Tamandua tetradactyla: one gene and its partners. The protein of the gene in region 3 purifies or fractionates together with the protein of the main gene of each other region. This does not show direct contact. Links are inferred from orthologs where the notes say so. Each region holds a gene or a part of one and is shown on either strand. Other genes may lie near its edges. The genes, in order: YBX1, DHX57, LARP7 and YBX3.

Region 1 (6,929 bases), on a different chromosome or scaffold from region 3:
TCAATTTGAATCCAGGGTCATTTAAACTATTGGTGTTCTTGAGAAATTTTCTTCCCCTTTCTGAGCTCAGTTTCCTCATCTGTAAAATGGGGATAATACCTAGATTTGCCTCATAGTTTTCTGAAAGGGTCAAATAAAAGAGAATAGATATGAAGGAATCGTTAGAAACAGTAACATGTCTTTGAAAATACCTCACCATAAAAAGATTCCACTGAGTATGTTTAAGAGGAAAAGAAAAAAGTTCTCTGGTGTTCCTTTCATGAAGTATTTTACAAGTTCTCCCATTCCTGACTTTACCTACTTTATTCCCATCTCATGGACAGGATGCTATCTATGCCTACTGGCAGCAGGTTACTGCAGCAGAGGTAGCAGAGAGCCAAATTCTATGATAGAATCTGGTTAAACATGCTGTTTCAGTATACTGGGAGACAAGGGGGGATGTGAGATATACAAGACCCTACAATGTAGATATTCAGAACTCTCTGTAGCCAAGTAAGCAGGGACCAGAGCAATCAGTAGGGAAGGAAGGGACTGTGAACTGGAGGAAGACAGATCTTCAGTTAACTAGGCAGAGAGGTGGGAAGGAGGATGAGCAGATATGTTCCTGAGCTGATATTCTTATGGGCTAACTATTTAGTTGAGTTCAGTCATACCTGGCACCTCCATTTTATGCCAGTCCCTGTCCTGGGCACTGGAGTTGCAACAATGAGTAAGATGTAGCCCATGCGTGTGACAGGAGACAGATACAGTTTCAGTTCAAGGTGGAATTAGAATGTGAGCCCTTACGAAGGCAGGAAATTGTTTACTGCTGTGTGTCCCCTCCCCCACTGCCCCCAGCACCTGGAGGAGGTGTCTAGTGTCTCATGGGTGCTCAGTTAAGTATTTGTTGCATGAATAAATGATGATGTTGGTATGTACAAGATGCTATGGGAGTAGAGTGGAGAGACTGCAGGTAAGAGGAAGATGTCAAAGAAGGCTTCTTGAAAGACTGACGTTTGAGGTAATTATTAATGAATTGGTTAGAAATAGCCAGGAGATGAAGGTGGAGAGGGCTTTCCTGGAAGAGGGAACTGTGTTCTTAGACAAGAGTCTGTTAGAGATGGGGAAGAAGGTGAAAGTTATTTTGCAAAGTAAATTCTTGAACACTCTTGCCCTTCATATCACTAAAAGCTAGGCAGTGAGGTTATCTGTGCTGTGGTCACCATAGGCCACTGAGCAATATGAGTGAGCCCTCAGAATGGCAGGAGGATCAGCAGAACTTTGGAGTGGGAGCTCTCACTTTGGAAGGAAAGATGTATTTCCACATATTATGTTATCTTATGGTGCTCCAGTAGTGCTAATATAGAGGTGACTACAAGGAAACTAGCTTTTCTGTCTTAAGAAGTTCATCTACACATTGGAGGAGCATAAAGAGAAAGCCCCTTGAAAAAGTAAAAAGTAATTGGATAAGTAGTGATACTTTAAAGTAACATTTTAAAGACATGTTTCAAAATTTGTATTCTGCTTGAGAAGCCATCCCTTCAAAGCAATTGCAAAGGCTGCTCACTTCAACAGTCAAAAGTCACCTAGAATTGGAATAGCAGCTTTGGAATCCACCTGCTTCTCTCCGTCCACACTGTGGCTCCAAGCCTTCTTTTTCATGTGTATTACTAATACGGCTACCCAGGAGACCTTTTTATTTCCAGTGCTGCCTCCTCCAAACCATTTTCCACACCATGTCATTCGTTTAACATATCAAGCTATTATATATGAAGCACATTGCTAGGTGGTCAAGGAAGACTTAAGAGCAATACAGTATCAGGAAGGGGTTAGTACAGGATGCTATCAATATAATCACACGGGGGAAACACCTGAGTGACATCTAGTACTCTATAAGTAAGCAGCCAGGACCTAAAAGTTGAAGAGTTAACCAAGCAAAATGAAGGGGAAAATGAATAATGTTATAGTCTGAGGGGGTAGCCCAAAGGAAGCAATGACTAAAAGATCACCTGGAAGATTGGGCAAGAATTGAAAGAGTGGAAAGGTAAGAGTTTAATTTGGTTCAGAGTCCTATAAACCACATTATGGTATTTGGACTATACCAAGGGTAATGGAAGTTACTCGAAGACATTAAGACTGTCAAGGTCAGATTGGTTTTTTCAAAAGAGCATTCTGGTGGTTGAGGTGGAGACTGTAAGAAGAAAGCAGTGTGTGTGTTGGGGGGTGGCAGCAACCAGTTAGGAGGCTAATGCTCTAAACCAGAGGTCAGCAAACTGACTAGCAAGCCAGATCACACTTGTTTTTCTATGGCTCATGAACTAAGAATGGTTTTTAAAAATTTCAAATAGTTGGAAAAAAGTCAATCTTTTATGTAAAAATTATATAATTCATATTTCAATGTCCATAAAATAACATTTTATTGAAACACAGCTGCACTTGTTTATGTATTGTCCATGGCTGCTTTTAAGCTATAATGGTAGAGTAGTTGAGATAGAACTGAATGGCCCACAAAGCTTAAAATGTTTACTATATGGTCCTCATTTTTAAAGTTTGCCTAATCCGACTGTAAATAACAGTTGATGATGGCCTAAACTAGAGTAGTGGCAGTAGGAATAAGAGACCGGACTGACTTAGAGATTTTTAGGACTGGTTCAGGGAGGCCTTAGGGGATGGAATTGACAGGCTGAGATATTACTGATGGGACAAGGAGTAACCTTTCCCATCACAACTCACAACTTTCTCTGCTTCCATTCTCTTGCCCATCCGCAACTCATTTTCCACTCAGCAGCCATTTTAAAAAGGCCATGCCCAGTCTCTAGCTTCCAACTCTTAAGTTACTCTTCTCACTACTGCCCTTGGGGGAAAACTAAAAATATTCCTAATTTGATCCTGCCTACCTCTTACAACCCCATGTCTTCATTCTAGCTTTATTCAACTACGTTACTCGCAGTTCCCCTGAGACAACCATCTGGTCTTGTTTGGGGTGGGGGTGGGGGTGGGGGGCTTCGCATAAACCGCCCTGCGCCTGCAAAGTCAGTGTTTCACCCTGCGTTCCTCCTCTCCCAAGATGCTTTGTGCTTTAACAACCGTGGCGTGAAACGGGATGTTCAAATTTCTGCCCAAATCTCCAGACTGAATTCCAGAAGGCAGAAACTGACTCGCTCTTATTCCATCTCCAGCATATAGTAGACGCTTAATAAAGAACGAATGGAGCCGGAGGACTTACGCAACATCAGGTCTCCGCCTCAATTTTATCGTTTGTGAAACGTGGACAGTAATCCCTACTTCACATGGCTGCTGTAAGGACAAAACGCAAGAAAAAATGCCTAGTTTGCTCAAAATACGAGTTGAAATCAGTCTGAAAAAAGATGTGAATTCTCAGGAAAGCACATTCCTTATATGCCAGATAAAATAGATCGGAACGCGGTCTCCAGGGAGCACACAGCAGCCCCCACCACCTCCCTAAATATGCTGAGCAGGGGGGGCTTGAGAGCCCGCGCGGTCCCCTGAGGGTGACTGCGCCGCCCAAAGCGGACTCTTCTCGAATGCATACGTTTAAGTCTGATACTGGAGAAACCCTCCGCTGTTCCCCGTGTATGCGGCCATTATGGAAAGCCCGCTGTATCCCCGCGGTAACACTGAGTTCACAGGACCATATATGGAGCAGGGAAGGAGGGAGGCTGGCAGTCCCTCCACAAGGGGCTAAGGTGTCACTGGGCCCCCTTCCACGCCGCAGGTCAAGCAGGGTAATTCCGGACCAGGCGTTTGGCCGCGCCTTTCCCTCTGGGCTGGCACAACCCAGGACGTAGAGGCCCGTGCGGACTACACCCTCGTGAAAGTCACGTTCTCTCTGCCCACCCTCTCTGGTTCTCTATGGTTCTCGTGGTGACTCTACCCTAATTCTAGTTCCGGTCTCTATGGCGGCGGCGGAGGCAAGAACGGTTGTAGGTCTGTCGAATTAGCCGCCTAAGAGCCAATGAGAGTAGAGGAGTGATAAAGTATTAGTCAATAGGGGCCAGAAGTTGAGGTCAGGTGGTGGGATTGACAGCACTGCTGGCCAGTGAACATCTTTAGGGCGGGCCGATCACAGGGCTTATCCCGCCTGTCCCGCCATTCTCGCTAGTTCGATCGGTAGCGGGAGCGGAGAGCGGACCCCAGAGAGCCCTGAGCAGCCCCACCGCCGCCGCCGGCCTAGTTACCATCACACCCCGGGAGGAGCCGCAGCTGCCGCAGCCGGCCCTAGTCACCATCACCGCAATCATGAGCAGCGAGGCCGAGACCCAGCAGCCGCCTGCCGCCCCCCCCGCCGCCCCCGCCCTCAGCGCTGCCGACACCAAGCCCGGCACCACGGGCAGCGGCGCAGGGAGCGGCGTCCCGGGCGGCCTCACATCGGCGGCGCCTGCCGGCGGGGACAAGAAGGTCATCGGTGAGGGCCGAATGGAGACGGGGGTGGGGCAGAAGGGGAGCCTGGCCGCGGAACCGTTACCCGAAGCGAGGCGAGGAGGCGAGCGCGCGGCGGGCAGGGACCGACTCCGCCGCGCGCGGCTGCCCCTCCCCCACGCCCCCCCACGCGCGCACTCCCCGGCGCCGGCCCGCGTGCCCGGCAGGCGCGCGCGCGCCACCGACCGCGTGTGCGGCGGGGTCCGGTCCTCGCCCGCCGTTGTTCCTGTCTCCCCCACCCAGCTCCCTTCCGCGTGTACCCTGAGGGCGCGGCGTGCCGCCTACGCAGGCCGGAGTGGGCCGGGGCGGTTTCCCCTTCCCTCACGTGCTCTCTCGCTGTCTTCTCGCACACCCATCTTGGACCCGCGCCCCAGGCCTGCCCGTGGGGCGTACCGGGCCATCCAATTAACCCACGTGTTCCGTTAAAGCGTCCTGGTGGCGGTAGCAAGGTCCTGGAAACGGGCTTTGAAGGGAAAGGCTGTCAGGTGGCCGCGGCCCGGGCGGCTGGGAAGCGTGTGAGGGACCGGATGCTGAAGTGTGGCTTTTTTAAAAAGAATACCTGGTAATTGTGGGGTTTTTTTTTTGTCTGTTTTTTCCAGCAACGAAGGTTTTGGGAACAGTAAAATGGTTCAATGTAAGAAACGGATATGGTTTCATCAACAGGTGAGATGACCGTCACTGAAGCTTCCATCCTCTTGCATGTTTTCTACTCCGGCTGTAGGTTTTGCGTGGCTTTATTGTTTTAAGGATATGGAGATACACGCGTGTTCAGGGTGTGTGATACCTCTAGTGTATTAGTGTGATGTTCGTTTTCCTTGATGACTGCAAGGAATAGTGATCTAGAGATTTTCTTTGTTTTGCAGTTGTATCTTAACTTCTGAGGCTTCATTGGGGCACAAAGCACTTTTAAAAGGCAAGCAGAGTGTTTGAGCCATACCGTAGCAGGTTAGGACAAACTGAAGAAACTATGGTCCAGTACGAATTTTTCAGTTATATTCGGGTCCACAACGTTTTTGTTCTTCTCATCTTTTTTGTATATTTTATTGAATTTTTATTGAAATGGTTTTGAGAAGGAGCCCCGTTAGGTTATTTATAACATGTTAACCTCTTGTGGTAAGATGTTTTGACACGTTAAGTGTATGCGATTTTATCATCCTTATTGTAAGATTATACTGCCTTTGTTCCAGTAGATGCTGTCTTTTAAATACCTCGCATGAAATCTTTTATTAGAGCTGTTTTAACAAAAGGGTGTGTTGCTTTATTTATTTTTATTTGTTCATAGGGTTAAGTAACACTTGTGGAAGAAAATAGTCCGTACCCGTCCATAATTTTTGTTTCTCCTACTTACCTGTCCCAAAGTCGAGCCATAATATTAAATCAAATTATTTTAAAGTCTTGGCTATATGTTATTAGACGGCTTTAGTCCGGATGCCAAAGTGTGTGGCTCTTCGTATTTCTTCATATCTGAAGGTGTGGTTACAAAACACCTTCAGCATTTATCCTTAAAATTGCCTGTAGTAATAGTGATGGGGAACGTGCAGTTGATTCACAGCACTCTGCATGGATCTCCCTTGTGAGCCGGGCATCATTTTCAAGATGGCTGCCAAGGCGAGTAGTGCAGATACATGGGTGTAGAGCAGTGTACATTAACGGGGATCTCGGGCTTACAGGTAGGATATGTAACACCATGTCAGCATTTTTTTTTTCTTCTTTTAGAAAGCTTTAAACAGGTAGATGTTAAAAGCATGTTTGAGAGTAAGAAGTAAAAGTAGAATGTTTGAAATGTACAGTGTACTGCAGGAAACCAAATGGGCAAGATCAAGTTTAAAGACTGACATAATTGATGAATGAAAAAGCATTCATCAGTCAACCATAAAATATTGAGGAAACACTGGAAGTAAAAGAGATAAGCATTTGATGGTCTGTCTTCCAATTTGCATTTTAGGGAAAACATTTTGATTCTTCAATATCTTAAGGAATTTTTCACCTTTTATACTGTAGCAGGCCAAAGCTACATATTCTCATCAGTTTTGTATGTTTTGATGATGGATTGCTAGGGAAGAAGGAAGAGAATCCATTTACATCATTGATTGACTACTTTTTAGTTGATTGATCTCTCAATTATTAGTGTTTCAGTTAGTATTTCATATTACTCTGATTCTCCTTTCTGGTCTAAGCTCTAAACCAGTGGTTTTAAATTAAGTGTGCTTACCTTGGAAGAGAATACCCTAATTTCTCCTTCAGAGCACCTGATTTAATGAGAGTTCCAGGTGATAGTCTGTGGGCCACACCTTGAGACACATTGCTTTTAATCCTTGATAATGTCATTATTTCTTGTGCACATTAGAAGAGGCTGTTAATTTGCATGTGCCTTTTGGGTTTTTTTGCATTTTTTTCAAATGGCACAGGTTATGATATTTTCAAAGTAAATAATTTATATGCAAGATGTAAAAGTAGTTCTTTACATATTATAAATAGTTATGCCATGAGATACTATTCTTTGAATGTCT
Region 2 (7,276 bases), on a different chromosome or scaffold from region 3:
GTGTCCAGAGAATTTAAAAGACTGTCAAATCTTACACTGCCAAAAAATAAATAAATAAATAAATAATAAAAAATTTTTTAAAAATTAAAAAAAAAAAAAAGGGCGGGCCACGGTGGCTCAGCGGCAAGAACGCTTGCCTGCCATGCCAGAGGACCCGGGTTCGATTCCCGGTGCCTGCCCATGTAAAAAAAAAAAAAAAAAAAATCTTACACTGCCCAGAACAGCTTTCAGAGAAACACATAAATGGCAAAGAGAACTTATGAAGTCCCTTTCGGAAATTGCTTCGAGGAGAATTGAAAAGGATTAGACAACATTCTTCCTGTGTCACCTCAGACCTATTTCTTATTCTCAGAACCCTGACTTCTGTCCCCCATCGAGGATTTCTTTTCTCCTTAGAGACTTTAACTTGTTTCCCACACTTCTGAGGAGCTATAAAATGCCCTCCTGTCCTCTTAGTATTCTCTCCCCACTTTATTTTTGTCCAAACCTAGAGACCCGTCCTGAAGGAGGACTTAGTTGTGTGTGGTAAGCTTGTTGGGAGCAACTTCCAGCCTATTGGCTTCACTCTTACCACTGTTACCTTTCTCTGGACAACAGATGGTCAGCTGCTTGGCTACCACATCTAGGTCTGATAGGGGAGAAGTTCTGTAGGTCATAATCCAGGCTGGCGTGTTATCCCGCACAGGCTGCCTGGGACCCAAGGTTATTGCCATTAACTTTTCCACAGCAACAGGTGCTTACGTGACAGCAGGACCAGAACTGGGAGCAGAAGGGTAGGAGTGCAATATCTCTTCTGAGTGTATCCCACTGTCACGGACAGCCTCGGGGCCTGCAGTGGGGGAAGCATCTTGTCCAGCATTCGCACACTGGGAAGCCAGTCCTTTGTACAGCTTCACCATGGATGACCTAACAGAATGGAGGTAATAGTTATCAGGGTGTAAAGTGGGAAAATGGCTTTCTGAATATGCTGTGGAAGTGTTTCTCAGATGACACTCAGTCCTGAAGATCTCTGTGTCTCCCAAGACCTCTACAAACCAAGTTGCGTACACAGCAGGGTGCAAACTGGGTGCTGGGCATGAGTGGTGATGCTGATGAACTGGCCGAAATGAGCTTGGGAGTGGCATGGGGTACAATCCCTCTATTAGAGGAGAGCTGACTTGAGAGATACCATTCTTTTCTGGTCTGAAGCACTCAAAGAATATTCTGTTTTCCTGCAGGTAGGTTGGGATGAGGTTGAAGAAAGCTCTGCCTTGTACTGCTTCAGTTCCCTCTGGTGCCCAGATTTTCCCTCATCTGTTTCCTCTTTCTTCCCGGTGTAAAATCTATTCAATTCTCCCTTCCCCTATTTGCTTTATTTTTATCCAAAGCATTTATCACCATCTAGTTTGTTAGCTGATTGTTCAGTTATAGAAAGTAAGCTCCATGGAGCACAGATTTTTGTCCATTTTGTTCATTGCAGTATATTCAGTACCTAGAACAGTGCTAATGCACAATACTTGCTCCATAAATGTTTGTTGAATTAATGAAGGTAACTGCATTCTGGCCTTTGAACTGCAATTTTGAACCTGGCAAATTTATAGAATTGAACTATTTTTGGGGTAGTCAGCAACATGGGCTCACAGGAGGTCTACATAGGCATTAATATGAAATAATTAGTTTTCTAGAGTAAATACCACTAGGTAGTATGTATCTCCCTGCCATAGCCAGCCTGGCTGCCTCTCCCTTCTCTCTCCCACTTCCTTTCTACCCATCACTGCATTTGAGCCACTTCACACACAGTGTGTTTATTTGTGACAGGCACCTAGATTGACTGGTGTACATCCCTCTTCCCAGAAACCTTTGATTGCTCTCCAGACTGTACCATCAGAACCTTACTTCTTGAGCTTTTTCCGTTTCTGAATAAGCAAATCCTCATTGCACTGAAACAGCAGAGTGTAGTGTGAGATAAATACTCGGAGTCGCTGAACACACACCAGCAGTAGGTAATAGTCAGGGTGTTCCTGTTCCGTGAACTTCAGGACATTCTAGATGGAGGAGAGAAGGAAGCAGCATTGTATAATTAAAGTGAAAAGTCCATCTAATTATTAGCTAAAAGATCAAACATGCCGTTCTCTGTCCATCATACCAAGGGAAAATAATAGTCACGATTGGCTGTTTGAGCTGTATGTGAACATGAGATAGTTCCATCTGAAAAATTAGAAGGATCTCAAAAAGCAGATCTCTAAAGTAATGGAAGCATTCTAACAATTGCTGTCTATAAGCAGTACCTTAATCCCCAGGAGTCAGACCAGTGTTAGGCATCAGGGCAGGCTGGTGGAAGAGATGCCTATAATCAGATCTAGCATGGTGACCCCTCCTATTGCATTGCCTTCTCTGCTATAGTGCAGGTACTGCACTAAGATTTGGAAAAGCTGACATTAATTGAATACTTCCTATTTCCAGGTACTAAACTCTCTACATATATTATCTCATTTAATTCTTACAACGACCCTATTAGAAAGTTAGAATTATTGCTTCCATTTAATCAATAAGGAAATCAAGGCACAGAGAAGTTAAGTAAACCTCATGACATCACACATGCAGTGAGTAGTGGAACCAGGGTTTAAACTCAAGTCAGATGACAGTAGAACCAGTGCTGTTATATGCCATACTCTACTGCTTCAGAGATCTGGATTTCAGTTCTACTTTTATGTGTTAACTTGGATAAGTAACTTAATCTTTTTGACACTCTCCAAAGAGTGTAAAAAACTAGAGAAGCACATAGCCTGGATTTCCTCATCTAAAAAAATGGTAATAGTGATACTTCGTAGGATTGTTTAAAGAATGAAAGAAGACAGTTGTGTAAAAAATGCTTTTAAAATCTAAAACCATAATACCGCTTCACACCTACTGTGATGGCTATAATAAAAAATAAAAAAGGTAAAACAAGTATTGGCGAGGATGTGGAGAAATTGGAACCTTCATACACTTGCTGATGGAAACCTAAAATGTGCAGCCACTGCAGAAATAGTTTAGCGGTGCCTCAAAAAGTTAAATATAGAACGACCACATGACCCAGCAATTCCACTCCTAGGTATATACCCGAAAGAATTGAAAACAGGCACTCAGATACCTGTAATCCAACGTTCCTAGCAGCATTATTCAATATAGCCAAAAGGTGGAAACTCGTGTCAGTGAACAAATGAATGGATAAACAAAATGTATTTCCATTAAATGGAATATTATTCAGCCCCCAAAATAAATAAATGAAGTTCCGACATATGCTACAACACAGAGGAACCTTGAAAACATTATGCTAGAGGAGAGGCAGGGGACGCGTCCCACCGACGGCCGCTGCATGCACCGGGAGCGCCAAGCATCGGGCACCCCCGCCACAGAGGGGCCAACCTGCCTGCATCCATGACCTGGGAGAAAGGCCCCTCTAAGGTCCGGTCGGAACCCCAGGAGCCCCGAGGTGCTGCTGACGTATTGTACAAGGAGGAAAGGTTTGTACAACGTTACATCTTAACTGGTCCAAGGACAATGTCAGAGCCTAAGAACAGGTACGTGGGCGGACGGGCGTCCAGAGCCGGCGGAACCAAGGAGCGCGGCCGCAGTTCCCGCCGGGGGACAGGCAGGACGGGACACGGTCCGCCAACCGAGGCCGCCCGTCCGGGTCAGGTAGCTGACCGGGCCTGACTGACCCGCTTCATGCGAGTCAGTAACGTGATACGTGCGCTCGCCAAACCTCTGCCTCAGCCGGGATCAGCTGAACTCAGTTCTTTCCGGCGAGGCGGATAATGGCGGAGTGAGTAGGTGGCGTGAGCTCGAGCCGGAGAATTCTTCGGTGAAGTTCAAACGGAAGACGTCTCAGCAGAAAACAATGAGATTTATTTAGAGCTGACACCGGAAAATTCATCTCGTGCCTTGAAAACTGCCCAGAATGCCTGAATTTTGAAAATCAAGCTGACCAATAAACACTTGGCGGCCTCCCAGTCTCTGTGGAGCGGTTCCCTGTATTAAGCACTACTCGCGTTGTGACACATGACGGCCCCAAAAAAGCTTATTCCGAGGAAACTGGGGAAGGTTTTACAAGAACCTACAACCCCAGGCTCTGATGTTAGTATTTATTTGCCAGTGTTGAAGACAGTGAGGAGTGTGGCGGAGGAAATGGAAAACATCGGCAACAACCTTAATATTGACGCACATAAACGGAGAGCTGAACTTGAAAATAGAAACTGAAATTAGTTTGTTTTACAACTCATTTCAAAGATGTTGGAAAGCCTCCATTGGCCTCTGATAGAAACCCAGAACAAATAGCGGAGGAGCACATAGATATTAGAAAGCTCCTACGATTTCTTGCTGGACAAGTAAATCCTACACGGGCCTTGTGCGACACTGTGAGTAACAGGATTGTCCGTTCTGATTTGCTTCATGAAGAGGTTTTTCCCTTAAGTGTTTCACCCCAGCACTGTCGTAGCACCACCTGACCAGATCGGGAAGCTCAGAGACCTTGGGTGTAGCGGGAAGAGACATGTGGTTCATGTGTTGTAAGGTATTTGTCTGTGCCCTCTGAGTTACACAAATCATAAACACTTTACGGTTTCTTCCTTTGTAGTAGTTTAGGTAGAAATGGACTACTGAAACACAGCTGGATCAGTATTCTTTTTTCTAACATGTGTTGTGTTCTGCTTCTAAGACAGTGGAAAAAGCTAGGCCTTCTTTATGCAGACTTTACATTTCAGTGTCTTATTTGGTGAAGTTGTGCAAATCTCATGTATTTAGTACTGATGAGGTCATCAGAATTTGTAAGTCTGTGGAACATGGTACATCAGCTCAACATGTCCTAGCAGATATTCTTGTTTCTGACACCATGTGCCCTCTCCTTGCCCTGATCCCATAGAAAAACAGCCCTGCCGTAGGCCGCATTTCATTAGCCAGGGAGCTCCATCCTGCTACTCCTCTGTTTCACCCTAGGACTTGCTTTGGTCTTAAGTTATAATTCTTATTTTCCCTGTGCACTGGATCTCTCATTCTGGGAAAAAATAGCAAGATGTCTTTCTTTAGAGATACCATGTAACATAGAAAAAAGTAAAACTTCTAAGCTAGCATGTGCATTAATGATGAAACCGTATTTCAGTTTATCAAATCTGGTTCAGGTACTGATAAATATGCTTTCTTATTCTCCCTCAAGCATGTTCTGCCATATTTCCTATTATAATTAAATTTTACATATCCTATAGAGGTGGACATCATAAACATTATTTTAATTTTATATAAAAAATTCAGACTTGAAAGCAGTTGCCTGGGATATGATACAGAAATGGGATCACCAAATTGAAAAATTCTTTTATGGCTTGTTCACTCTATTTGGTAAAACCAGTGACTCTTCCGCTGTTTAATAATGTTAGTTTAAATGGGTTGTAGTATTTCCTTAAATTGACATTTTAAAATGAAAGGATACAATTTTATTTATTTAATGCCTCTTTCCCCTTTTTGACTTCTAACAAAGTTTATTCTAGCTGCTCATATAAACTTAAAAATCATGATGCAAAATGAAACAGCATCTGAAAATTGTTTTATAAAACTTATTTATAAAACTATTTCCTGTTAAACGAGTTAGAGATTTACCGATCTGGAAAATTGATTATTTTTTATTATTTAAATGATGATTTTAGATGTATAAAGAGGATATATTGATTTTCCTATAAGTTAATAGTAAAGCAGCGTATTTCCTCATCTGTATTATACAAAGTGTCCTTTAGTTTTCTTTGCTCAGGAATTTAGCATGCACGCTTCTTTCATAATTGGAATGTCAGCTATAAAAGGATGTTACCAGAAAGATATGCTTGGGTAGGGCCTTTCTGGATCAGAATATCACAGATATTCTCAGATTATTCAGTGCTGCTGCTTTGTTTTGCAGATAAAATTAAGTAATTTGTTCAGAGAAACAGTAGCAGGCATGGAATTAGCACTCAGAAATTCTGACTCTTTTATAACCCTTTCCCTCACACTTCCTTCTGCTCTTTTGAATGAGGGATGAATAATAGATTTCAAAACTGATATTCACCAATTATTTTATGAGTTGGGAAAGAGTATCTTAGTTTTTAAATCTGCTATGGTAAAGTAGATTTAAATGCAATTTTTAAAATGTCAGGAAACCAGATGTAATTTCCTGCAGCTCTTTATAGAATTTGTCTTTCTATAAAGACCTGATTTTGATGATTTCATGAGTCTGTTAAGATTTTCTCTCTGCATGGAGTGTGGCTGGTTAAAAGAGTTTATCTGGGAGTCAGGAAGCTGGGATCTATTTCCACCTGGTCACCAACTTGCTGTTGAGTGTTGCCAGGCCCTCTACCTCTCTGCATCTACCTCATCTGTAAAATGAGGACTATTCTTACCTCCCATAGTGGAGGGGGCAAATAGAAAACTTCAAACTTACAGAAATTCACAGTGCCCTTTTTTTTTTTTGGAACCTAGGTCTCCAGCATGGCAGGTGAGAATTCTGCCACTGAGCCACCGTCACATTGCCCCATAGTGCCATTTTATTGAATAATATACCAAAGTAAATTGTGGTAGTTCAAAGGGTAGCAATTTATTCAAGTTAGAGGAACAGATATAATTGGAAAAAATTAACTTATTTCAAGACTAATATACTTAAAGTGTTTAGATTCTTTTAAATAGCTTTCTGGATTTTAGAGATAGCTTCTGCTGGCTGTAACCATTTAAGAGTCTTATTAAGAACTGTGGTGTGGTGTGCCCTTTTACATGCGGGGGAGATAGCTGCGTGTTTCTATGTTGGTCACATCTCAAGCTAAGCTTTGGAACCAATCTTGAGTTAAGTAAGGGAGGATTAAGTATTCCTAATCCATCATCTCAGTGGCCTTGTCATTTCCCCACCCAGCGTTCCTTTGTCTAGCTAGGACCAGATCACCTACAGTTTCTCCCCGAGCTGAGTTTCCAGTGGTGCTGTGCCTGGCATAAAGAGCTGTGTTCATACTGGTATTCTCGGGTCCCGGGGTTTGGTCTCTGAGTGTCTGGGGCTGGGATTCAGGTACAGGCACTGAAGACATTTGATGACATGCATGCTCTTGATATATATTACCAAACTGGCAGAGCTTTGTTTCTAAAGAGATGCAATTCTGTACTTCTTCTGTGGATACTAATAGAGGTAGCGTAAAAGGAAGCTTGAGAGTCTTTGGATTTTTAAAATTTTTAGGTATAGTTGGTGAAGTAGTAGATACAAATCATTTGTTATAATTGGTATCACCTCAAGATTAGAGAAATACATTAACCC
Region 3 (7,677 bases):
AAATTGGAAACAATATGTTAAAAATAAGACACTCAACTCGGTCTAGGGCATCAAACAAGGTTTCCCAGGGGCAATGTCTAGGGTGTAACTTGAAATAACTATTAACAAAGAGAAAATGCCAGGGAAGGTCTTTCATGACAGGAATCAATATGTGCAAAGACCTGGGGGAGATACAGCAAGGCAAGATAAGAGAACTCTAAATGGTTATGATTAAAGGGTCAAGTAAAAGGTAATGAAAGAGCTATAAGCAAAGAGGCCGAGGGAGTGAGTGGTAATAGCTTTGAGAGGGCCTTATGTGTCATACCGAGGAACTAGACAACAGAAAGCCACCGAAGGATTTTAATAAAAGGATGCAATCGGATTTGGGTTTTACAAAGATCATTCTTGGTTGCTGTGTGGTGAAAGTATGCAGTAAAAAGCAGCCAAATGATATATGAATACTTGTCCCAGGACACAGGTCACTGGACTGGACCCAGACCTACTGAGGCACTCTTTCAGAAGTATTAAATCTCGACTTTCTATAATTCTTCCTTCCAGCCCACAGGAACGGCTAGCTGCCGAACAAATGCTAAGATACAGAGGGGTCCAGAGAAACACCTATCACTAGCTGGTGCTTTTTGAGCAACCTGCTCCTGGCCACTGAACGGGCTGGACATTTTAAGTATCTAGAGACTCTACAGTGTAGGCATAGTGCCTGGCATGTGGCAGTTATTAATCTTCTATCTCCTAATAATATCAATCATTTATTCTGTACAACTGTATGTTAGACACTTTTTTTAAAAATGCTTTAAATGTTCACAACAACCTTATGGTGTAGGTTCTATTTTTAATCTCCATTTTACAAGAGGAAACAGGTATACGTGAACTTGTTCAATATTGTAAAGTAAATAAATAGCAGAGTGAGAATTCAAAACCAAACAGTCTAAACTCTGGGGCTCATACTCACAAATACTATTTTATTTAGCTACTTACTGAGTACCGATAAGGTGTCAGTAAGGAATTCAGCTAGATATTGTACATATATTTTTCATCCTCATAATCCCAAGGAGTAGGTATTATCATCACAATTACAGACTAGGTATTCAGTGTTTACTAAATTTAGGATTATTTATATACTATTTTAGAGTTGCAAGATAAATTTCCCATACTTTCCCAATATTAGTTTAATGCTTGAATTTACAATTCAGAAGGAACTAAGAGAAGGTTAAAAAGCTCTCACTAATGGTAAATGAGATTATAGAATTAAACGTCAGAAAAACTCTAGCTAGAATATAAAGATTCAGAAGAGCCCTAATATTATATTCATTGGAGAGCTGGCATCCCTTTCTTACCCTTAAATAGGAAAAAATGGTTTTAGACAACAGCATCAAATTATGAGATGCAAGGATGAGACATTTTTTTCAGTGTTTATCTGTCCAGTCTAACAAATAATTCAAGTGTTGACCTACTTCTAAGGCCTAAAGAGTAAGCTGGTTTGGAGGCTCCAGATGTGTTACTGTAATTAGGAGGTGTTGAGATGTTGTTTTTTTTTTCTTTTAATTATTTTTTTTAATTCACCATAACACACAAACACATTCTAACCATTTGATCATTCCATTCTTGATATATAATCAATAACTCACAATATCATCACAGTTGTATATTCATCATCATGATCATTTCTTAGAATATTTGCATCAATTCAGAAAAATAAAAAGAAAATGAAAAAAATTCATACATATCATACCCCCATCCCTCCCTCTTATTGATCACCAGCACTTCAATCTACTAAATTTATATTAACATTTGTTCCCCCAATTATTTATTTATTTTTAATCCATTAATTTTACTCATCTGTCCATAAGGTAGATAAAAGGAGCATCAGACACAAGGTTTTCACAATCACACAGTCACATTGGGAAAGCAATATCATTATACAATCATCTTCAAGAATCATGGCTACAGGAACACAGCTCTACATTTTCAGGCAGTTCCCTTCAGCCTCTCCATTACACCTTAACTAAAATGTAATATCTATATAATGCATAAGAATATCCTCCAGGATAACCTCTAGACTCTGTCTGGAATCTCTCAGCCATCGACACTTTATTTTGCCTCATTTCACTCTTACTTCTTTTGGTTGAGGTTTTCTTAATATTTTGATGCTGAGTTCCAGCTCATACTAGGATTTCTGTCCCACGTTGCCAGAAAGGTCCACACCCCTGGGAGTCATTTCCCACATAGAGAGGGGGAGGGCAGTGAGTTTGCCTGTAGTATATATCTTAAGTATAAAGTTCAACTGGAAACTAAAGATTACTTTTAGAACTTTACATAAGAACCCTTGATACTAATTTTTAAAATGTTCTTGCATGAGGAAGAACAAAGGAATGTCATTATTGCAGGGTGCTGAAAATAGATGGTATTAATATTTTAAAATGTCACCTTATGTGTGAGACTAAAGCAAAAAATGTTTGTTACAAAATTTATATTTTGACTAGTGCATTTCCTAATATAGCCTACACAGTTTGATTGAACAACATAAGTACTTGGAATCTCAGGTAGGACATGAGATTTTGTTGGTTTGTCCAGAGTGATGCCCCAATGAATCCCAGTGTGATTTGATCAGTGAGTGGTAAATTATTTGCACGCCCCCTTCAGGGAATGGTGTGAGCAGGGAGAAATTCAACTTCCCCAAGTTGAATTCTTGATATTCTCACAAGCAGTGTAGACAACCAAAGCTATAGGCTGAGCCCCCCGTCTTGGGGTTTGTTCCTATGAAACTTAACCCCACAAAGGAAAGGTCAAGACTACTTAAAATTTAGGACTAAGAGTCACCCCCAAGAGAGCCTCTTTTGTTGCTCAAATGTGGCCTCTCTCTCCAGCCAACACAACAAGCAATCCCACCACCCTCCCCTGTCTATGTGGGACATGACTCCCAGGGATGTGGACCCTCCTGGCAACGTGGGAAAGAAATCCTAGAATGAGCTGAGACTCAGCATCAAGGGATTGAGAAAAACCCTAGAATGAACTGAGACTTGGCATCAAGGGATTGAGAAAAACCCTAGAATGAGCTGAGATTTAGCATCAAGGGATTGAGAAAACCTACTTCACCAAAAGGGGGAAGAGTGAAATGAAACAAAGTGTCAATGGCTGAGAGATTCCAAACAGAGTCAAGAGGTTATCCTGGAGGTTATTTCTACGCATTGAGTAGATATCATCTTGTTATTCAAGATGTAATGGAGAGTCTGGAGGGAACTGCCTGAAAATTTAGAGCTGTGTTTCAGTAGCCGTGTTTCTTGATGATGACTGAATAATGATATAGCTTTCAAAATGTGACTGTGTGATTGTGAAAACCTTGTGTCTGATGCTCCTTTTATCTACCTTGTCAACAGATGAGTAGAACATATGGAATAAAAATAAATAATAGGGGGAACAAATGTTTAAATAAATTTAGATTGAAATGCTAGTGATCAATGAAAGCGAGGGGTAAGGGGTATGGTAGGCATAATCTTTTTTTTTTCTTTTCTGTGTTCGTTTTATTTTTTTCTATTGTCTTTATTTCTTTTTCTGAACTAATGCAAATATTCTAAGAAATGATCAATATGCAACTAAATGATGATATTGTGAATTACTGATTATATATGTTGATGTTTCATCTGGTTTGTTAATTCTTTTAATTAATAAACAAATTAAAAAAAAAAAAAAGAACCCTTGATACTAAGCCACAAGTTTGGTTTCTTTGGGCATACAATTCCAGCCAAACTCCAGATTTGAGAGTCGTTTGGATGGACAAATGGTTACTTGTGGTGTTTAATCAAACTGATGAGAGAAAAGGGGGGAAAATACCTATCATAAAGCAGGCATAATGAGAAGCATCATGCATCCCAGGTGTGGCTTCTTCAGTGGATCATCTGCAGTGCATCACTGATTTGACAGAGCCTCTACTTCAATGATGCCTGTCTCAAAATGGCTCCCAATGATTTCTGTATTGCAAAATAAAGCCAAATTCTGGAAACCAAAAAAAGAACCCTCGATACTGAATGGTTTTCTATAAAATAGTTCACATGAACCTGAAAGATAATTTTAAATGTTTCTACCCATCTTTGCAGAGTAATAAAAATCAAGATTTCATAACGATTCATCCTGAAAACAACTAATTTTTAATAAGAAAACCTAATACTATTACAGTAATACCACTATCATCCCAAGAAAGAACGTAGATATTATTATAAAATATATATATTTTAAGCTTTATTCATATCTGACTGGCTTACATTAATACTTTTGAAATAGTTAATTCTTAAAAACTTCATAAAAACTGTGAAAAAGATCGAATGATTTGTTATAAATGTTAATAAACGTTTCAAGAAAATTCTGTTTTTAAATAAAAAAGAAAAGAAGGGCAGTGAAGGAAAGACACCAATTATTCCAGGCAATCTGTGACTGCCACCCCCTCTAAACCAGGTTCCGCACAGCTTTCCTTCCAATCCGCTTCCTGTGGAGCAGATTCTTTCGTCAATTCGCCCCAAATCAGCGATGCGGTCTTTTGCTCAAGCCCCCCAGCCTCACTCCCCAGAAATAACCAAAACAATTCACTTCACCTGTTCATAGCCCAAATGCTTTCGAATTTCTCCCGCGAAGGAAGATGACGTCATTCACCTGGGCCCTCACCAGATCAGGACCCAATGCTTAGCCCGCCCACCAACCCCTCGACGAGAACCGCCATTTTCAAACGGCCAATCAAATGCTTCACTGGCTGGGCGCCACCTCGGCCGGTCGCGTTCCCCGTTGCCCCGCCCCCGCAGCCAGTCCCAGCCTGAGAGCTAAATGACGTTCGCGCCGCCTCCTGGTCTGTCTCGTGGGTGGGTGACTGGTGTCGCTCATCCTATGACGCCCGAGTCATCACGACTGTAAAGCTCCGAAGGCGGAAAGGGTAGAAGGACGTAGTCTCTGACCCTCTGTTTTGCGAACTGGATCGAGTAAGTTGCACGTGGACCACAGAATCGGTCAGGGTGGGGAAGGTCTAAAATGCTCGTAGTTCTTTTGTCTTGCTGTCCATTCTGTTATCTGTTTTCTTTCTCACCCCGCCCCTTCTCACGAACCCATCGCTATTTCACCAGTACGAGTTGTCTCTGCGCACGCGCAGTTCTCTGGCGGCTTTTGCAGTTTGTACAGCGTGCAGGCGCCTAGGGTCGGACGTTGGGAGGTTTGGGACACGCCCCACATTTAGCAGCGTCTGTACGTGAGTACGGGTACCGAGACGGGTAGTAGAGTGTAGAGAACGTTCCTAATTTCTGGAATTTGGGATTGAGCGTTGGCCAGTAAAGTATAGGGAATGTAGGGACTTGTATTCCAAAATTTAGTTTTATTCTTTTACAGGAAAGTCCTTGCCTTCACAGAGTTGAAAATCCAGTTATGGAAGAAAACTCACAAATTATAAGCGTTAAAAACACTATATAGTGACAGCATTAATGGGGATCCTTAGAGAAAGCAATTAGGGAAGATGTGGTGGGAGGCCAGAGAACGTAAGAAGACATTTAAACTTGTCCTTGAATGCTGAATAGAGGTTTATAAAACAAGAGAGAACACTCATGCAAGGCAAAGACATTGAAATGGCAGAAATTCCAGGTGTTCAAAGTTACATATGCTTTTCATTACTATTGAGCTATTTTACGACTGTGTAAATTGTAGAAAACTGATAATAAAGCTATTTAGTTTTGTACAGTGGAGAGGCAATTAATTATTGTTCTCACCAGTTTTACAGCTATTAGCAAATTGATTTAGCAAATTGACTTCAGTATCTCTGAATGCCAATCTATATGTCTGCTCATTGAATTCAACTTTAAGATGGTTTTTAACCACTGATCCATTAATTACTTACATAGGACCTTTGGCATGTATTCATTTTATCTGTGTACAGGAATCACGATTTTTTTTAAATATGTCTTAAGAATTTCACGGGTTTCACAAAAACTTGAAACCCACGTATAGTGCCAAATATTTCAGGTTCAGAATCCCCAAGTTAGAACAGAAATTTGCCTAGTGGCAATGTGTAGGACCCTATACTACTTCCTATGTTACAGGAAGGTGCTAAGAAATTACTGTTGAAAGTTTTGACTCGAGGTTGACTTCAAAGAACCTTCAGCTCTGTGTTTACCGCAAGCCGCATAATTTCTATGTAGGATGGATGATTTCTAGAATGGTTTAGAAAACTTTTTCCATATGGTTATATATATTGTGTACCATGTAACAATTTTAATGCTTTATTAAAAATATTTAATAAATTGTTATTTAATAAAAACACTATTCAGTAGTTAAGATTTTTATCCACATTGTACAGACCACAGAGAGGTGAGGTAATTTGCCCAAGTACCATACAGCTAGTAAATAACTAGATTGATTTACTAGGTGGAATATGGTATCATTAAACGAGATGATGATGATAGGAAGAAGAACAGGCCTGGGGAGGTAAGATAACTAAGTTTGATTTGGGCCTGTAATGAAAGTACACATATTTGTTGATATTGATAAAGTACAAGAAAGTGTGAGCCTGTAACAAAAGTACTGCTTTGTAACTTCCTGAACCTCTGCAGCCACTGTGTAGGGGAGGTAAATTGTGCCATAACTTATGTTACTTTCTGCTTCATCTAAATTTCCCTCTAAACTGAAGCTGTTTGATCATCCATAGAATATTTATTAGAGAAGTTATAGATTTGCAGGAAAATCCTGCATAAAGTACAGTTTCCATATACCACATTATTAATAACACCTCGCATTAGTATGGTACATTTGCCGCAGTTGATGAAAGAACTTTTTTATGATTGTACTATTAGCTATAGTCCATGGTTTCCTCTAGGATTCACTTTTTCTGCTATATAGTCCTATGGATATATATTTTTTTAATTTTTGTTCTAGTAACATTTATACAGCCTAAAATTTCCCCTCTTAACTACATTTAAATATGTAGTTCAGTGCTGGTCACAATGTTATGTTCACAGTGCAATGTTGTGCTACCATCACCAGCATCCATTACCAAAACTTTAAAATCATCCCAAACAGAGACTCTGTATCAATTAATCATTAACTCCCCATTCCCTACCCCCACCCCAGCCCCTGGCAATGGTAGTTTCTGACTCTGTGAGTTTGCTTATTCTAATTATTTCATATCACTGACATATAACATTTGTCCTTTTGTAAGTCTGGCTTATTTCATTCACCCAATCCAGAAAAATAATTTTAGCAGAAGAAGTGAAGACAGGTCTCTCAGCTGAAAAATGAGAATGATGGTAAATATCTGCTTTCTGGGAGAATTGTGACTTTGTGTGCATATGCAGTTTTGTCCCGTTTCCTTTAGGTGTCAGCCTTTGATAAGGAAAGGAATTAGCTGATAGTCTGCCCTTTATAATTTAGTTGGTATGGGAAATTTAGTAATGGTGCCAACTGTAGTGATACTCATATCCTATATTTGTATTTTATGTATATCCTCCCATTTGCAGAAGCACTTGAAATGCTTAATACTTTACATTTTATAAGGTGCTGTTAAATATATTTACTTTTATTCAGCAACTACTTAAGTGGTGATCAAGCCAAAGTCCCTGGCCTCAAAGAATTTACATTCCGAGTGAGATTAAAAGACAGGAAAATTATAACTACAGGTAGTGATAAAGAGGACAAAAAAGAAAGTGGTAACCGAGAGGG
Region 4 (7,215 bases), on a different chromosome or scaffold from region 3:
CTTTTTCACACGCTCCCACCAAAAGTGTGCAATTTACTAGTCCTTAAAGAAAGATGAAGACACTGTCAAAATAGTTCATTAAAAAAATTAGAAGCAAAATAAGTGCAAAAAAGTCTTTTAGAACCTGGAGCTTTTGTTCCAACATATGCTGAAATGATCAATTTGCCTTTTAATATCACAGGTACCTTTTCTGAAACCTTTTATCCAACTTCCCATAGGGAAGGGTTGAACACAGTGAATCCCCACCCCACTCTTAGCTCTCTTATTGAAAAGGAAAAAAATTCAAAATATATCTTCACTTTGGTATGTCAATATATATTACTTAAAGTTAAAGGAGAGTGTATGTATACAAGGGTGTGGCAGCATGGAACATAGTTGAAGGGTAATGGATAGTAAATCAACTTTAATGGATAGTGCTTACCCTAGAGTTTATCAATGACATTTTCATAGTTATTCAGAATTACAGAATTACGGTTCATTTAAATTTTTTGGCTATGTCATGAAAGAAGCTCAAGTTACCCTAGCAGGTAGCATTATCTTGAAGGATTATCAGATTGATGTATGGTCCAGCTTGTAAACCCAGGCTTTTTCACAATAACCACAGGTAAATTGGCTTCTGGGGATCATTCAGGTTAACTTTCTAGTTGTCTAGAAGACTTCTGATGCTCAATTTGGTAGCTGCCAGCCACAATGAGGTGTGTAAAAACTGTAAAATACACATTGGATTTTGAAGACAGCACCAAAAAAATGCATTATCAACAATTTTATATTGATCAAATATTAAAATGAAAATATTTTTGATATGTTGGCTTAAATAAAATGTATTAAATTTAATTTCACTATTTCTTTTTACTTTTTAAGATATGGCTACTAGAAAATTTAAGAGTACTTATGTGGCTCACATTTTGAAGGCTCAAATTACATTTCAAATGTGCGGTGCTGGTCTAGACCCTAACTCCTTGAATACAGGGGCCATTCCTGTCTTGTTATGCATGATATCTTTAGTTCCTAAAGTGAATGATCAATACATGGGTGGAATGCATTATTAGTGAATGCCAAACAGAGCATATCTCCCCTTTAACATTGATGGAGACACCTTGAAAAATCTTTGCTCTCCTATTCCTCTACTTTTTTATTCCCTTCTGTGTTGTTTCGACATCAATCAGTTTAGTTAATGCTTTACTGTTTTACAATTTCAGATATGCTAATCTATCAGTGCTTCCTTACTTTAAGCTCTAGTCCTTTGGATGGCTTGCAGTATTCTAAATCTCCTTAGTCAGTTCATTGCATTTTCTTCCTTAGGGTGATAATGCTGGATAGCCTCCTATCACTTATCATCATTAGCCTCTTCAAAGGTAAGAACTACATTCCCCAGAATCTCCTTTCCTGTAGTTAGAGATTGGAATCTGTCAATGAGCAGCACTCCCTCAAGATTTATAAGGCACCCAGGAGACCATTACTTTCTAGAATCAGTTACTGGAAGATGCACGGACAGATGGAGGTTCAAAGCTAATTCCAGATAAACTTCTTGAAGAGAAACTGGGTCTGTGTTTTCAACTGAGATAGTTGGTGTCAGGGAGGGCATGCCATTAGACAAATGAAGTTCAAACTTTAGGGCTCCTCTCTTCCACCCTGCTTATTTTGTATGCATAATTTTATATTCTTTTCTTAAAGGTGCTCTCTAAATTGTATAAGGTTTGAGCCTCACAAAACTGGCATCTAGCCCTGAATGACTGCGTGCTTCCCAGAAATCCTGTGATTCCAGTGGCTTCAGGAGGGCACTGGAGAACCACCTTCTTTGGGGCTGGAGTCAGGGATCTTCAGTGCAGCCTCTCCGACTTCCCTTCCCCCAGCACTTCCAACAATTGTGCAAGCTCTAACTCCCCTCATACTAGGAACAGAGAGGCTTTTGTTTTCATGACCAAACCAGTCATTGCTAAAAAATGATTGCTGTCAACAATTAGATTATGATTCTTTTTGTCCCACTTAATCTCAAATTTAAGCAGTAATGATACTTTTCTTACAATATAATTGATGGTAGTGAAAAAAAGATAATTTAATATAATATAAAGAAAAACCTTAGAGCAAGCTTTATGTTGATCAACCTTGCATACTTATAATTTCACACATTGCCACATATGCCAGCTTAATAAATATGTGCTAATGAGTGAGTGTGTGAATTAACGACTGAGCAGAGGAAGGATAAATTTATGTGCATCTGTCTACATACTGCTCTGTAGTTATGATTACTAAAATAACATAGATCATGTCTGCTCTAATTAATTCTCTCTAGATTTATTTAGCATAGTATCAAAAATCCCAGCTGCTTGCTGGGATTTTTTTGGATGAAAATGATGAGTAGTTATGGGAGTCATTCCAGCACAAATTCTAGGAAATCCCAGTGTGCATTTGTAATTATTTTAGGGTCTTCCAGAGGTTGGAGACAACACCTGTTAGTTATGATTTGTTTTCCAAGAGTGAATATAAAAAAAAGAGGGAGCTGACTATTGGATCAGAGATCAAAGAGTTCAACCCCTTTCATTTTTTTCTTGCAGTCAAATTGTGCATGGTAAATAGCAATGATAATCATATTGTTGGGTAGGAAAAATCAGTGGCCAGTTCTCGCCAGAATAAATCGTACGTACAGCATAATTTTAATTAAGACTATAACCTTTAAAATTAAGATGACATTTAATCATGCTTAGAATATTAGACCGGCCTCTTTAATGCATCCACATATGTATAGCATTACTGTATGCTTCATATTGAAAGCAAGTGAAAATATGGATTTAACTTTAGAAGTTTGTTATTTTAAAAATATACATATTAACTACATGCAAAAACCAAAACTTCCACAATTTGCTATTTTTTTTCTAAGAATCAATTTTCTTTAATTTGCATTTTTCATGGATGGAATAAAGTAAAAAGGCAGGATAGTTTCATAATTGATAATGAATGTGAAGATAAGCAATTGAATTTGGAAGATGTTGGTTTTTTTTTTTTTTTTTCATTTAGTAAAAACATTTGCTATATTCTAACCCTATGCTAGGTACTGCGCTAACCAGTGAGGATACAAAGTTGAATTAGACTTGATCGCTACACTCCTAAAGTGGGGCAGACAGCTATATAAACACTGTAGGAAAACATAAGGAAAAGCTTTAGGAGAGAGGGGAGCTAATAACTGAAAGTTAACATTGGTGTTACATATGACAATCTCATTTACTTTTCACCCCACCTTTGAGCAGTTCTCATCTCATAAAGGAAGAAATAACTTGGGGACATTGAATCCCTGGCCCAAGTAAATTCAGTTAATAAAGAGCAGAACCAGAATTTATACCTGGGCCTGGCTGGACGCTAGTGGCAAAGAACATCAAAAATCCTTTATTCCTTATAGTCCTTGGGGGCAGGTCACAGTCCCTCTGGTCATGAGTTTAGCGTAATCCAGCCCATTCTCTACAGGTCACGTGGGTTTTTCAAACTGGGAATAACCTTTATTGAGTGTTCTGTATCTGCACTTCTTATCCCTAAAGCTAAGAGGGCTCAGTTGCAGAATTCCTGTTCTGCTACTGGAGCAGAAGGTAGGGCATGGATTGATAAAAGTTTTTTCAAGTACACAATTAAACACATTGACAGCTCATTGTTTGCGTTAAAGTGGCTTAAACTCTGATATTCATTGTCTGAGGTCTGGACTTCAGTTACTTCACCTGTGTGTTATAAATTAGTTTATCCCTAAACTACCTTTGGGGAGTAAATTGGCAAATAGATTTAGGATTTTATTTCAGGTCTTCATTGCTGTATCAGAAATAGTTTCTGGTGCTCGATAAATGTGAATGAATAAATGTAAAGGATTTAAAATGAGTATGTGAAAGACTGAAGCGCAGCGCAACGTGGATGTCCTATTTGACGTCTCCTAAGAGTCAGTTTCAAGTGTCTAGACGTTGTGAGGGAGGAGAGCCCTCTGTCCCGCTCCAACACAGGAACAGCATAATTCATGGTCCTTCGAAAACTCCAGATGCCAATCAAACCTCCTACTCACCCTTGCTTTCCTCTACTCTCCAACTGGGCGGCTGCGCATCAACCCCGGCGGGCTGGCGAGTTGGAAAGGGCACCAGGCGCCTTTAAATGCTAATGAGACTGGATGCCCAATTCTGGAGCCAAGTTTCCCCACCCTCTCCCCTCGCCCGCCCTTTCCTCCCGGGCCCGTGCGCCGCCTAGAAAAACTTGTGCGGGGCCATTTTTGGGGCAGTAAGATCGAGCGAGGAGCCCAAGATCCAGGCGCACAGCCCGAGAGCTCGAGCCGCCTCCGCCGCGAGACCCCACCTCGGCCGCCGCCGCCTGCGCCGCGAGATCCGCACCGGCCTCCCCGAGAGCGAGCCCCGGCCGACGCGACCACCAGCCGCGCTAACCGCCGACCAACCGCCAACGAGGTGCCCAAGTGAGAGCAGAGGAGGCGGCATGAGCGAGGCGGGCGAGGCCACCACTACCACCACCCTCCCGCAGGCTCCGGCGGAGGCGGCCGCCGCGGCCCCCCAGGATCCCGCGCCCAAGAGCCCGGTGGGCAGCGGCGCGCCCCAGGCCGCGGCCCCGGCGCCGACCGCCCTGGTCTCAGGAAACCCGGGTGGGGACGCGGCCCCCGTAGCCGCTAGCACCGCGAGCACCGCGGCCCCCGCCTCTTCAGCCACCGCCGGCAGCGAAGACGCAGAGAAAAAAGTTCTCGGTGAGTCAGGGCCGGGCGTGCAGAGCGGCGGGCCGCCGAGCACGTGTGGGCAGCTCCAGCTCGGGGCGGGGAGAGGCTGACAGTCCGGGGTCCGCCGGGACCTCGGGTCCCCAGCACAAGGGCCGCGGTCCACCTGCCTGGCAGCGCTCCCAGGAGAGCGCACCGCGCCCTGCACCCCTCGCGGTCCAGTGCGCGTCCCTCCTGGTTCTGGGCCAGCAAGCTGGGGACTTAACTTCTGTCTTCCAGGCAGGCGCTGTCGCGGATTCCCGTAGTGGAGGGCGCCTTATCCTAAGAGGGAAGGAGCGGCGGTCTGGGAAGGAGGGGACCCCGGGTAGGAATGGATGTGGATGTAGGGGAGGGTCAGACAACGTGGGCCGGGGATTTTGGAGGCCTAATTTGGGATCTGGGGAAAACGAAAAGATTTCCTTTGATGAGGAGTGCAGTGCCAGATGGAGGCGGGAAGGGCAAGGTGGAAAGGTTTCTTGCAGGGATGGCTCAGCTGTCTGTCCCTGACGCCCTTCCCACGTGGGCATCGGGAACACACCATGCTGTTGTCAGCCACATGCCGACTAATAGGTGTTGTAATCCTCTCCGGGAAACTTGGGTCTAGGTCCCACGTCTTCTCCCCCTCTCGCTGTGCCCCTACTGCCAAGAGCCATTACGTGTCCACCAATCGCTGCACTTTTGCTAGACTGTGGGAACACACGTGTCGCGGCAGCTGAAAAAACTTTATCGGAAGTGTGGGTATGACGTTTGCTCAAAACATCATTACCTTATGGCTTGTGATTTAGGCAGGGAAACATTAAGATGAGATGGTCAAGTATGGGGGCAAAGCGTTTCTGTGGTGGTGGTGGTTTTGCCACATATTTCAGCGTCCTCTCCTCCATGAAGTAACGCCCTGTGAAGCCTTCCACAGGCTTGCAAAGCATGTGGGTGGTGAATAAGCTCACTACAGGGTGTGTGCCTAAATCACTCACTCTTTCTTAAAGTGGAAAGTTACAGGTGGTTGTAGGATGCTTCAGATACATCATAAGTATTTTGGGTGGGGCATGTTAGTCTAATTTCTCTGAACCTTGCCTGCCAATTAGGAAGAAATTGAGGGAATACTATGAAGAAAGTATTACACGATTCGTTGTCACCCAGCTTGAGAGGCCTGTTTTCCTGTTTTTTTTTTTCAGTGCATTTACTCAGTTCCTGCCAAACAAATATGCTAAATGTAACTTGTGTTGGTTAAGAAACAAAATAGCCCTCTTTTTGCTGGATTAAAAGTTTCCAAAAATCCAGTCAATATTGTATTGTTTGCTGCAAATGTTTCTTGGAATACTAGAGTTAGGGTATCCTGAGTTATCTAAAACAGTGCTAAGAAATAACTCTTGATATTTTATATATAAGAGCTTTTGCAGTTTTTCTTCTGATCTCTGTACTCTTATGCTATAGGGCAAGCAGATATTACCTTTAGTTTAAAGATGAAGAAAACAGATAAATCTAAGTTAATTTCCTCAATCACCGACGGCTATTAAGACTCTCCTGAATTCCTGGTGATTTGTCTCAAGGTCTTTGGTCTTTGTGCTTTACCTCCAACTCTGGAAATGAAAGACAATCTTCTACATGACATTTCAACACCGTCTCTGTCCAGCGTATTCTGCCATCTGTTTTCCTTTGTCAAGCAGACACTTGGTGCCTAAGAGGTGGTAGGCACAGTGCTGTCTGAAAGGGAAACTTGGGCTTCTCCCATTCTGGTTTTTAAACACAGGCCTTACATTCAGTGTAGAGCACCTAGGTCAGGGAAAACGGTTTACATTTACCAAACTTCCTCCTGCTGAACCCTGTAGGAGCCTGGTCTTCCTTTGGCTGCCACCATTCTCCCTCTTGCCTTTGTGTATATGAGGCAGTTTATGGTTTTGAAGAGGCAAGAAGTTTGAATGAATGTGCTTGACCACGTGAAGTCCTTAGAAGTAATTTTTGAAATTAGAGAAAACAATGTTTTAGCTACATTGAGGAATAAAAATAATTTTCAGCCTTCATTGAAATTAGACTTGAAAATATTTCTCCTTTCCCCCCCTCCCCAATTATTTAGTGTTGTTTTTTAAATCAAGACTATTCTTTTGACAGGGCTAAGCATTATATAAAAATGAATCACAACAGCTAGTATTTTTGTAAGTAATTAATTATTGGGCAAATGAAAGAGGGAAAAAATGGCATATCATTTGGAACAACGTGTAACTTAAAAAGTGTATAATTTATCAAAAAGGACATCCTCTGTGTACATTTGGATCTAAAACATCATACTTTTTGCCTCCTATGCCCTGCTGCTCTAATTAGAATGCTCTCAAAATGAAGATTCCAATGGTTTGATCTCTTGGAGAATTCTTCCTTACTTCTTGGAATTAAAGATGGAGAATGCTTAATCAAAGCGGGATGAGTGAAGTTTTCTGTTGTGTTTTTTTTTTTTACAAAAGGCTAAAATAGTTACTAAGCTTATCAGTCTAGCAAAATTA

The links.
Region 1: the proteins of LARP7 (region 3) and YBX1 purify together in Homo sapiens (affinity purification with mass spectrometry; 5 studies listed by BioGRID and IntAct, with this or other methods). This does not show direct contact. The link is inferred for Tamandua tetradactyla from reciprocal best matches to the Homo sapiens genes LARP7 and YBX1.
Region 2: the proteins of LARP7 (region 3) and DHX57 purify together in Homo sapiens (affinity purification with mass spectrometry; 3 studies listed by BioGRID and IntAct, with this or other methods). This does not show direct contact. The link is inferred for Tamandua tetradactyla from reciprocal best matches to the Homo sapiens genes LARP7 and DHX57.
Region 4: the proteins of LARP7 (region 3) and YBX3 purify together in Homo sapiens (affinity purification with mass spectrometry; 3 studies listed by BioGRID and IntAct, with this or other methods). This does not show direct contact. The link is inferred for Tamandua tetradactyla from reciprocal best matches to the Homo sapiens genes LARP7 and YBX3.

Annotation. Positions count from the first base shown.
Region 1 is NC_135328.1:182,059,481-182,066,409, reverse strand, and holds the start of YBX1 (Y-box-binding protein 1), read left to right. Parts: upstream 1-3,914; 5' UTR 3,915-4,239; coding exon 4,240-4,405; intron 4,406-4,465; exon of another isoform or gene 4,466-4,517; intron 4,518-5,018; coding exon 5,019-5,082; intron 5,083-6,929. UniProt on the Homo sapiens protein: DNA- and RNA-binding protein involved in various processes, such as translational repression, RNA stabilization, mRNA splicing, DNA repair and transcription regulation.
Region 2 is NC_135343.1:10,124,891-10,132,166, reverse strand, and holds the start of DHX57 (putative ATP-dependent RNA helicase DHX57), read left to right. Parts: upstream 1-4,275; 5' UTR 4,276-4,379; exon of another isoform or gene 4,380-5,459; intron 5,460-7,276. Other genes in the region: ARHGEF33 (rho guanine nucleotide exchange factor 33), read right to left, coding at 742-906, 1,876-2,024. UniProt on the Homo sapiens protein: Probable ATP-binding RNA helicase.
Region 3 is NC_135350.1:9,642,801-9,650,477, reverse strand, and holds the start of LARP7 (la-related protein 7), read left to right. Parts: upstream 1-4,669; 5' UTR 4,670-4,958; exon of another isoform or gene 4,959-5,221; intron 5,222-5,256; exon of another isoform or gene 5,257-5,607; intron 5,608-7,205; exon of another isoform or gene 7,206-7,265; intron 7,266-7,677. UniProt on the Homo sapiens protein: RNA-binding protein that specifically binds distinct small nuclear RNA (snRNAs) and regulates their processing and function.
Region 4 is NC_135333.1:73,329,823-73,337,037, reverse strand, and holds the start of YBX3 (Y-box-binding protein 3), read left to right. Parts: upstream 1-4,211; 5' UTR 4,212-4,455; coding exon 4,456-4,717; intron 4,718-7,215. UniProt on the Homo sapiens protein: Binds to the GM-CSF promoter. Seems to act as a repressor. Also binds to full-length mRNA and to short RNA sequences containing the consensus site 5'-UCCAUCA-3'. May have a role in translation repression.